Drosophila melanogaster: one gene and its partner. The gene in region 1 interacts genetically with each later gene. Each region holds a gene or a part of one and is shown in the gene's direction. Other genes may lie near its edges. The genes, in order: Mon1 and VGlut.

The links.
Region 2: of Mon1 (region 1) and VGlut, changing one suppresses a phenotype caused by changing the other (phenotypic suppression), as found in Drosophila melanogaster (one study listed by BioGRID).

Annotation. Positions count from the first base shown.
Region 1 is NT_033779.5:4,849,058-4,853,440, forward strand, and holds Mon1 (monensin sensitivity 1), read left to right. Parts: upstream 1-1,583; 5' UTR 1,584-1,693; coding exon 1,694-2,286; intron 2,287-2,350; coding exon 2,351-2,502; intron 2,503-2,556; coding exon 2,557-3,398; 3' UTR 3,399-3,583; downstream 3,584-4,383. Other genes in the region: CG11927 (uncharacterized protein), read left to right, coding at 1-267; mRpS2 (mitochondrial ribosomal protein S2), read right to left, coding at 455-1,224, 1,282-1,306. UniProt on the Drosophila melanogaster protein: Part of the Mon1-Ccz1 guanyl-nucleotide exchange factor complex specific for Rab7 that promotes the exchange of GDP to GTP, converting Rab7 from an inactive GDP-bound form into an active GTP-bound form.
Region 2 is NT_033779.5:2,398,315-2,403,521, forward strand, and holds the start of VGlut (vesicular glutamate transporter), read left to right. Parts: upstream 1-1,980; 5' UTR 1,981-2,036; intron 2,037-2,436; exon of another isoform or gene 2,437-2,651; intron 2,652-2,792; 5' UTR 2,793-3,019; intron 3,020-3,575; 5' UTR 3,576-3,930; coding exon 3,931-3,980; intron 3,981-5,207.

The DNA of each region.
Region 1 (4,383 bases):
CCGCCGAATGGTTTTGCGTCGATGCATGATTTCAAGAAGCAGCAAATGGATACGTTCTTCGGTCCCGGCCGTGCCATCAAAGGCGGTACGGATCTCTCCATCATTGGTACCTCAGCGCCGCCTCCGCCGCCACCTGACACCCCACCACAGATTACCAACTACTGGCCCTCTGGAAGTTCCAACAACACGGGGTCCAACTCCAATCCCTCGTATTTCAGCCACTACAGCAACAACTTTGTCAAGGGTGCCACTCTGCTGCCGCCCTAGAATAGCTATCCGAAACTAACCCAGGTCGTGGGTTTTCTTAAACACTATCAAATAGCATGGCACATGCACAAAGTTCTGCAATTTTGCAACCATATTTAGCAATTTCTTCTTCATCGTGGATTGACGGCCATTGGCATTTGTATTAAGATAAATGTAACAAAATCAACTTGACACTACTACTTGGCTATTACTTAGTTTTGCGACTGCGCCGCGGCTGGGATTCGTCCAGAGGCGGAAGGCCAAGGAGTTGGCGTCGTTCCCGCTTGCCACGCAGTATGGCTTCCTTGAAGAGGTTGCAATAGAGCTCCACTGCGGCCGGCGAGTCATCGTTGCCGGGCACCGGATAGGTGATCAGGTTGGGATTGCAATTGCTGTCCACTATGCCAATCGTTGGTATGGCCATTTTGGCGGCGTCCCGAACCGCCGTGTGCTGAGCCATAACGTTGTTTTGAGTGTTGAGGAAAATGCAAAGATCGGGCAGCCTGGTGACCGCATCGAATTGCACATTGGCATTGGTAAAGATGCCGCCGCGCCAAAAGCGAGTGTGCGAGAATTCACCGGCCTCCTGGGCCTTTCGCTCCACGAGATGTGAGTTCATGGCGTTGCGGTTGAAGAACAGAATGATGCCATCTCGGAAGGCAATGTGTGCGGCAAAGTTGAGGGCATCGCGCAGATGTGATGCCGTCTTGTCCAGATCGAAGATCAGATGACCTAATCGACTGCCGAACAAGTACGGACGCATTCGGTCGTCCAGGGAGCCCTCCTTGTGGCCATAGTGCACTCGGGCATTGAAGAGGTCGCGCACGGTGAACAGGTTGTGCACTTGGAAGTAGTCCGGATGCTTCAGAATCCGCTGTTCCACCAGGGCGATGTCCTCCGGTTCCGTTTCCACCGATTGCTCCGGCTGTGTGCTCTGCAGGCGTCGTGGCAGACCGCACATCTGACCAAAGCGGGGTACTACCAAGGGAAAGCATGTATAATTTGGTTTCCTTGATGTTTTAATTGATTACTTACGGTTGGCAAACGATTTTCTCAACATTTTGGAGCGGCTCGTGTTTTCATAACCTATGTTCTTCTTCTTTTCCGTCGATTTTGGTAAACAGCTGGTGGGTAGTGTTGGATAGAAGTGTTTCTATAAGAGGTCTTAAAACAAAAACAAAATAACAGATATAAAAATTTAATTATAATTATTAAGATAAAGTAATTCAAAATCCATATATCAAATTAACTTATTTTTCATAACATTTAAGAATGAATAAGCCTATCTTATGGTGTGTTTTCCGGAACACCCTTTATTTCACCTTCTGCTTCGGACAGTGTTGGGAAATCCATTCCAGCTGTAATGATTTAGTTGTAAATTTATGATATTGCTAAATATTGGCAAACTGCAATGTTCCAGCGACTGAAATAGTTAAACGAATTCGAAATGGAAGTAGAGCAGACGTCAGTCAGGTCGGACACGAACTCCACCTGCGAGTATCTAGACGCAGAGGGCGATCCGGAGTCCCCAAATCTCTATCAAGAGGCGGATCCCGACCAGGAGGCCGAGCAACAAAACCATAGTATTATCTCTGAGCTAAGAGATGGCCTGGGCACCATGCGAGATAACAGTGCCCTCAGTCCGGAGCCGGGGCAGGAGAACAAGGGACTGGCTGCCTCTGTGGAGTCTCTGGCATTGAGCACCTCGACCAGCGCCAAAACAGAGGACTCCATTGGCGGGGGACTGGAGGAGGAATACGATTACCAGCACGACAGTCTGTGGCAGGGCCAAAAGAAACACATCTTCATACTAAGCGAGGCGGGAAAGCCAATCTTCTCGCTACACGGCAATGAGGATAAACTGGCCACGCTTTTCGGTGTCATTCAGGCACTGGTAAGCTTCGTCCAAATGGGCCAGGATGCTATTACCTCCATTCATGCGGGCGGCATTAAGTTCGCTTTCATGCAACGCAGCTCGCTCATCCTGGTGGCTGCCAGCAGGAGCAACATGAGTGTGCAGCAGCTGCAGCTTCAACTGGGGTGAGTCAATTATAACGCACCTGATAGCAATGCTAACTAATGGGAACTTCCCATTCTTTACCAGGGATGTCTACAATCAAATATTGTCCATTCTGACGTATTCACACATGACGAAAATCTTTGAGAGGCGCAAGAACTTTGATCTGAGGAGACTGCTCTCCGGCAGCGAACGATTGTTCTACAATCTGTTGGCGAACGACAGTAGTAGTGCCAAGGGTAAGGATATCTAAGCATATCCAAATTGCTTAATTTCTCAACGACTTCTTTTAGTGTCCAACAACATCTTCACATTTTTGACCAACTCAATTCGCGTCTTCCCATTGCCCACAACGATACGATCGCAAATCACCAGCGCCATTCAGAGCAACTGCTCCAAGATCAAGAACCTGGTGTTTGCCGTGCTAATTGCCAATAACAAACTGATAGCATTGGTGCGCATGAAGAAGTACTCCATCCATCCGGCTGATTTGCGTCTGATCTTCAACCTGGTAGAGTGCTCCGAGTCCTTCAAGAGCTCCGAGAACTGGTCACCAATTTGCCTGCCCAAGTTCGACATGAATGGGTATCTGCATGCGCATGTCTCGTACCTGGCGGATGATTGCCAGGCCTGTTTGCTCCTGCTGTCCGTGGACAGAGATGCCTTTTTCACGCTGGCAGAGGCCAAGGCAAAGATCACGGAGAAGCTACGCAAAAGCCACTGCTTGGAAGCCATCAACGAGGAGCTGCAGCAGCCGTTCAATGCGAAACTCTACCAACAGGTTGTGGGAATCCCCGAGCTGCGGCACTTTCTTTACAAGCCCAAGAGCACAGCTCAACTGCTGTGTCCCATGCTCAGGCATCCGTACAAATCTCTGACGGAGCTGGAGCGCCTGGAGGCCATCTACTGCGACTTGCTGCATCGCATCCACAACAGTAGTCGCCCGCTGAAGCTTATCTACGAGATGAAGGAGCGCGAGGTGGTCCTGGCCTGGGCAACCGGAACCTACGAACTGTACGCCATATTCGAGCCGGTTGTGGACAAAGCCACTGTGATCAAGTACGTGGACAAGCTGATCAAGTGGATCGAGAAGGAGTACGACGTGTACTTTATACGAAACCATGCCACATTCTAAGCTTTAGCGCGCTTCGCTAGGGCATTGTGAGATATATGACTATTTTTTTATTGCTCCTCTGCCAATCGAACCAGGACAAAGTTGTTGTGCTGCAGTTGTGACGGCGTTTGTTTAACTGAACCTAGTATACCAGAATCACGCATGTACATTTGTAATTTAAAACTTTAAGTAAATTCTAAAACTTTATAGATAGTTTATCTCTTAGTGGATCTATAGAAAACTGAGTTCTGTCGAAAGGTTCGAGTCACCGCTAGCGCAGCATATCCTTTAAGTTCGGACTCAAACCAAACCGGTTATCTTCGGGGATGGACTTTCGAGAGCGAAAGGAATCGCAGAGAGAGCTTTTGCGGAATCAACAACTTAACGCGCGCACTCGCATCGGCGACCCAATCGCAAGGATTACGATGTGACTGGTGCTGGCCGACCGCTCGGAGAACACAATTGAGTACAGGACACAAACGCGAACGCACACGCTTCGATTGTGGGCGCTGCCACCGGAAATCCAAAGTTGAACCAGTGCCTGACCGAAAAGAATTACAAAATAATTGCTAAAACCGATGAGTATGTGAAAAATGTGGAAAATTGCGTGGTGCTAGATAGAAAATGCCCAGCATAAAATGGAAAATTACGATGCAAACGCGGCGTTTTTTGTTTCCACCTATTTAAGTTGCTCGAAACGGAGCAGCTTTTCAACATGCGCCACGCATTTTTTGGGTGTTAAATGCTCGTGTATCTGTCGGTTTTTGCGCGCTTAGCTCTGCGGCGGCATTAATACACATACAAACATGGGCCAGGACGAAATCCTGCCAGGATATATGCCAGAGTGCATGTGTGTGTGTGTGTATGTGTGTGTCTGTGTGTGTTTGTGTGTGTGAGACGCCGCTCCGTTAGTTTTGCGCGCGTGTTGGTCTACCCGCTTTCATCGTGCAAATCGTTTAATTTATGAGCAAAATGAATATTTTTATACGCATTTCTCGTGCATTCC
Region 2 (5,207 bases), 2.5 Mb from region 1:
ATAATGATGATTACGCTGGCGCAATGAAATTGAAGACGACTTTCTGCCGAAGCTGCACTAATTACCGCTGACGTGCGATGGGAACTGGGAGGCCAGCGGAAGTCCTCGCCCGATTCCAGGACGAAACTCCGTCCGGGGGACTGTCAACTCAAGTTTGACACTTTTCTGCTGACAATTTATGAGAGCGGGCCAACAGCTAAGGTTACCGATTTGAGCACAGTGGGTGTTAAAGAATCATTTTGAGTGAGGAATATTATAAATTTGTCGAAATTATAGATGAATATAGCTTGCAAATCTCATATGCATATAGAACTTATTGTAATTTAAAAAATATATATATTTGACTAGCACTTTTGTAGATTGAGCTTGTAACCAATTTGAATGTTCGGTTTTTTCCACTGTGCACGATGGGCACTGACTGACACTCGATCCGGCCGACAACGTCGCCACTTAGTTTAGAGTTTTATGAGCACAATTCGCAATTCGATTATTCTTCATTTACGTCAATCAATGTGAATGGCGCTTTTAGCCGCTAGCCACGCACCCTTAATCGCTTTGTTTAAATAGTAAAACGCCGCACGGATTGGGCATTTTTCGAAATTTAATATCGCAGATGCTTTTATTGTGCCGCCGTCTTGTCTGTGGAAATCTGTCTGCCCCGAAGTCTGGCTCATGCCGTAGACGTAGTATCTGTATCTGCAAATGTATCTGTATCCCTTTCGAATGCGAAAATCCCGCTGCCGTTCTGTTGACTTTCCTTTCATTTCCCAGCTCGGCTGTTTCCTCGTCCCGCTTCTTGTTTATTTCGCTTTGCTGTTTACTTCCGCAACTTTATTATAGCTTTTGGCTGAGTTGCAACTGTTTGTTGGCTGTTTGCTTTATGCTTATGAGGGTTAGGCCAACGCGTCGTATTCGCAACGTGGCCAGGACATCTGGAGGGGATCCTGGAATGGGACGCCGAACGGAAGCGGGGATTTCTATGGGGCATGGATTTTTTCTGTCCCGTGAATCGATGTGGTTGATGAGAATCGAGGCAGTTGCTCACACTGTTGACCAGGATTATTAGCTACTTAAAGTGGCCATTGAGAATATTCAAGTTGAGTTGAGCCTAATAAGTATATGTGTTGTTTGGAACTGGAGATTCTTTTCTCTTTCCTTGAATATAATAACGAATAATAATAAACGAATCATTCTGCTTCTTGGGGCTAATAAAAGACAACTAGCTTTGGTTTTAAATAAGATCAATTTAGGATCGAAAAATCCATTAGAGTATTCTAATAAAATGAATCAAATGTTTTTTTACCGTTAGACCGCCCAGTAATTAATGATAATCCATTAGATAGATTTCAAGCTCCCAAACGTGAGAATTTAAAAAGCATCACGTCCGATTCGAATCGATCAAAGCCAAGAGCAAAGGACTTATTTATTTGTAGCCGGTCAGACTTCACGATTCATATTGAAACGCTCATCCATAAATCGTAGCATTTTCCAAAAATTCACCAAGTTTGGAGCTATTTTGAGCCCCCATGCAGACAGGGGAAAATATTCAAAATGGCTGACATTCTATAAAAAGGCGGCAGAAGGACGCAGGACGTCTGTGTGCCAGGAGGAAAACAATGGAAAATGGCCTGGCAACATGTTAATAGCATTTCACGCACGACTGAGATTCGCATGCCAACCCAGAGAAAGACATTCCCATGTACCAGGACCTCTGATTGGTTCTTTTTGGCCAGGTGGCGTGCCATTCCCCCACAGCTGTCCCCAGTCTCAACTGCTACAGTTGCCATTCGCCGTCAACCAATGCCGAAGGACGAAGGACTCTCGAAGGATTCTCGAGCCTGCGCAGCTGTCGCCTGCGTCGCGAGCTTTTCACCACAGCGGGTGCGAACGGGACGGATGCGTTGATTATGCTGCGGAGGAGCATAATCCTCTGGCAGGACATCCATCTGGGCAGACAAGAAAGGCGAATGCGGGCGCTTTTAGTTTCACTTCGTGCGTTGTCCTGCTGAGGCCAAAAAGCGAGCCTGGAGCTGCGGGTATATAGCTGGGAAAATACATCTAAAATATACCAATAAATCAGAAAATATAGTTCAAAATATCCGAATAATCGTGCTAATATAGCAAGTGTTTCGAAAAAGTGCTGCCCTCCGGCTAGAAGTTGAGAAATCTACGTTTTTCTGGCAACGCCTCGTAATACCCTTGAAAAGAAAATCTCGCACATTCCAGTGGTTGAAAATTTCCAGTGTATATACTACGCTCCTCCCACCCCTTTAACACCCCATCCCACATTCGCTTCATCACTAGTCCCTCCGTACATATACCCCTGTATGTGATACATTCCAGGCCGCGATGGCAGCTTATGTATCCATCTTCCGCTGCCACCTGTCCTCCGCCGATCTTTGGCTGGAGGTCCACAACGCGGCTGATTTTGAGTTGGACGTCACACAGTCTTCAGACAGAGTTGGATTCGGATCACCATCGTCCTCGTCGTCGTCGTCGGTTCCATAGACAACCTGCCGCCGGTCTCGTGGTCAAACTCTGTCTGGATGTTGTCGTCCCACATACTGAGTTCTTAATTGGTTTATCCAAAGTTTTAAGTTTTTCACTTTAGTTTCATTTCTATTTTTGCGGGCGAGTGTTGCTTAGAAAATGTGAGACTTTATATAAATAAATACAAAACATCTATAACGATATATTTTAACACATTACCAAGAAGATATATATTGTTTTAAAAAATTCTTCTAATTATATTAAATCACCTAATTCCATATCCCTTTTTATCCCATTTGCAGCGTATCGCGTAGTGAATAATCAAGCTATATAATCTGTTATCTGTGTACCTTATTTGTGATATCCTAACCAACAACAACAAAATAAATTAAACGATTTTCGTTGTCTACTAAAACATAATTTAAGCCAAGTTAATCACCAAAAATATCTGTGCTTAAGTTACGACTAGAGGCCGATTATATAATCTTGCACCAACTACGAAATGGATTACGTAACTCTGGTGTGGCATGTAAGTAGGCGTTGTGGCCAAAGGTCAAAAGTACAACTGTTTTGGGGGAGGAGCTTCCAATGGAATCATCTAAAGAATTTTGTGAAAAACGCCAAAGAATGCGTACATATATACTTTACATTTAGTTTCGAAATTCCTGATCTAACAAGAAATAAGCTAGTATAAAAAATGCACAAACTTAAAACCTATGATTATTTCCATTGAATTTGTTTTCTTATTATAAATTGTAATTCTAATAATTCCAATAATCGTAACATTGCTAACTCTTTCGAAAGAGATTACCCAAATCAAAAGAGGTGTCAAATTTCATGCTCACACCAAATGAAGCATAAAACGCTATCAAAACCGCTCACAATGCCAGAAATATTTACAAAATGCTCTGCCGGCTCAGTAGTTACCCCTCATCACAATCATTTCGAAATTCTCGTGAATTTATGAACATAAGCGGCTTACAAGAAATGTGCAAAATGATGAAATTGTACGAGACTTTTGCTTATCAGCAGCAGAACACAAATTGCCGGACCCATTAATAGCCGCATACAAATCTCTTTTGCAGGCACTGTAAATGAAAATGCACAAACTCCACGAGAATCGAAATCATATGGCGACCAAGTGAAAATCCCCCGCTGAGAGAACGAGCCAACCCGAAAATAGAGTCATCAAATTTGTGCTGGCTTCACGGAAATTAACCGCCGCCGATTCGCTACGCTTATATACACGGCAATCCGCCGTGAAGTAGGCAACAAAATATATTTATGCGCCCAAGTGATAACGGCGCAAAGGCAACGAAGCACAACAGACGCTGACTTGGGCGAAAGGACAGCAGCAGGAGCAGGACTCGTTGATCCGGAGGCAGGGGCGGAGTGAGGACAGGCGTCTGGGAAAATCAGGACTACTAGCTGAGCAGCAAGATGAAGGGTCTGACGGCGTTTAAGGAGAAGGCAACGGGCGTGTTTGGCGGGTGAGTCGATGTGATATGATATACTCTAGTAACACCAGACAGCAGGGTTTGGGTCTTAAAGAATATTCAGATTTATAAAGGTTTTTTTTTTTTACCAGCAAGAGGATATATTTAAGCATAGAAAGCAGATCTATATGTATATTTAAAATATATCCTCATTTTGTTGGCAAGTGTACAGCGATGATGGGTGGCAATATGCCCGAAATGAAATATGATTGCAATCAAATGGACCTGCGGAGAACAAAAGGGAGAGAGTTTAATTTAACGCAAGGATGGTCGGTGCTCGTGGTTGGCTGAACTTGACCATGCCAGGATAATGCAGTAAATATGTACCGATATTGATACGCACTGGCGACTAGCCGGCGTCGCGAAACTTCGGCACGTGTCGCGCCCCCCCCGGAAAGTTGTAAAATTATTGGCATGCTTAACAAGTCATTAGAGGGGGTTTATAGGGATTCTAAGGACTTGGGACTTGGCACTTTTCACTGGTGACAACGAACGCAGTGGCATGCGGACGAGCTCACCGGTGCGTCAGGAATTCCGGGCACGTTGGCAGCACGTGTCCGGGAACTTCAACTCCGGCACCTTCGATTGCGGACGAAACGCAATAAAGTCGTGCCACTGGGACATATTGGGCAAACACTCGATGAATGTGTGTGGTCGTGGTATGCAATTTGATGGGCACACCTCGTCTGATTTCTCAAGGACCTTGAGTGCTAAATTAGAAATTGGAACAATAGGTGGCACATCGCTTTCATTACGGAATTTGTTGCATACCGACGAAGGCTGCTGCAGCGCTTAAGGCAAATGAAATTGATTTTTACGAGCTGCGAGCCGTTTCCGTTTCCGTATCCGTATCCATTGCCAACAGGACCTGGCGCTGAAGCGCTCGAGTGGCACTCGGCGCGAAGAAATTGAAATGCCTCGTTGGGGGAGTGCTCAAGGAGTTCCTTTATCCTTGCTAGTGAAAATGAAATTAGAATTGCCATTGAAGACGCGGTCGTGTCGCTGACAAGCCCCCATTCTCCCACTCCCCCTCAGTGCCAGAGCATCTTCATCACAGTTGTCAGGGCAAACAAACTAATACACTCCATACAGCTCTACATATACATATATATCTGAGAATGTGCCCCATTTACATCTCTAATGGTCGCGTTTTGTGGCCACGTTAAAGTCAAAGGCGAATTGTACAAAAGCCTTCTGCTTGTGGCGCCAGTTATCCTTAAT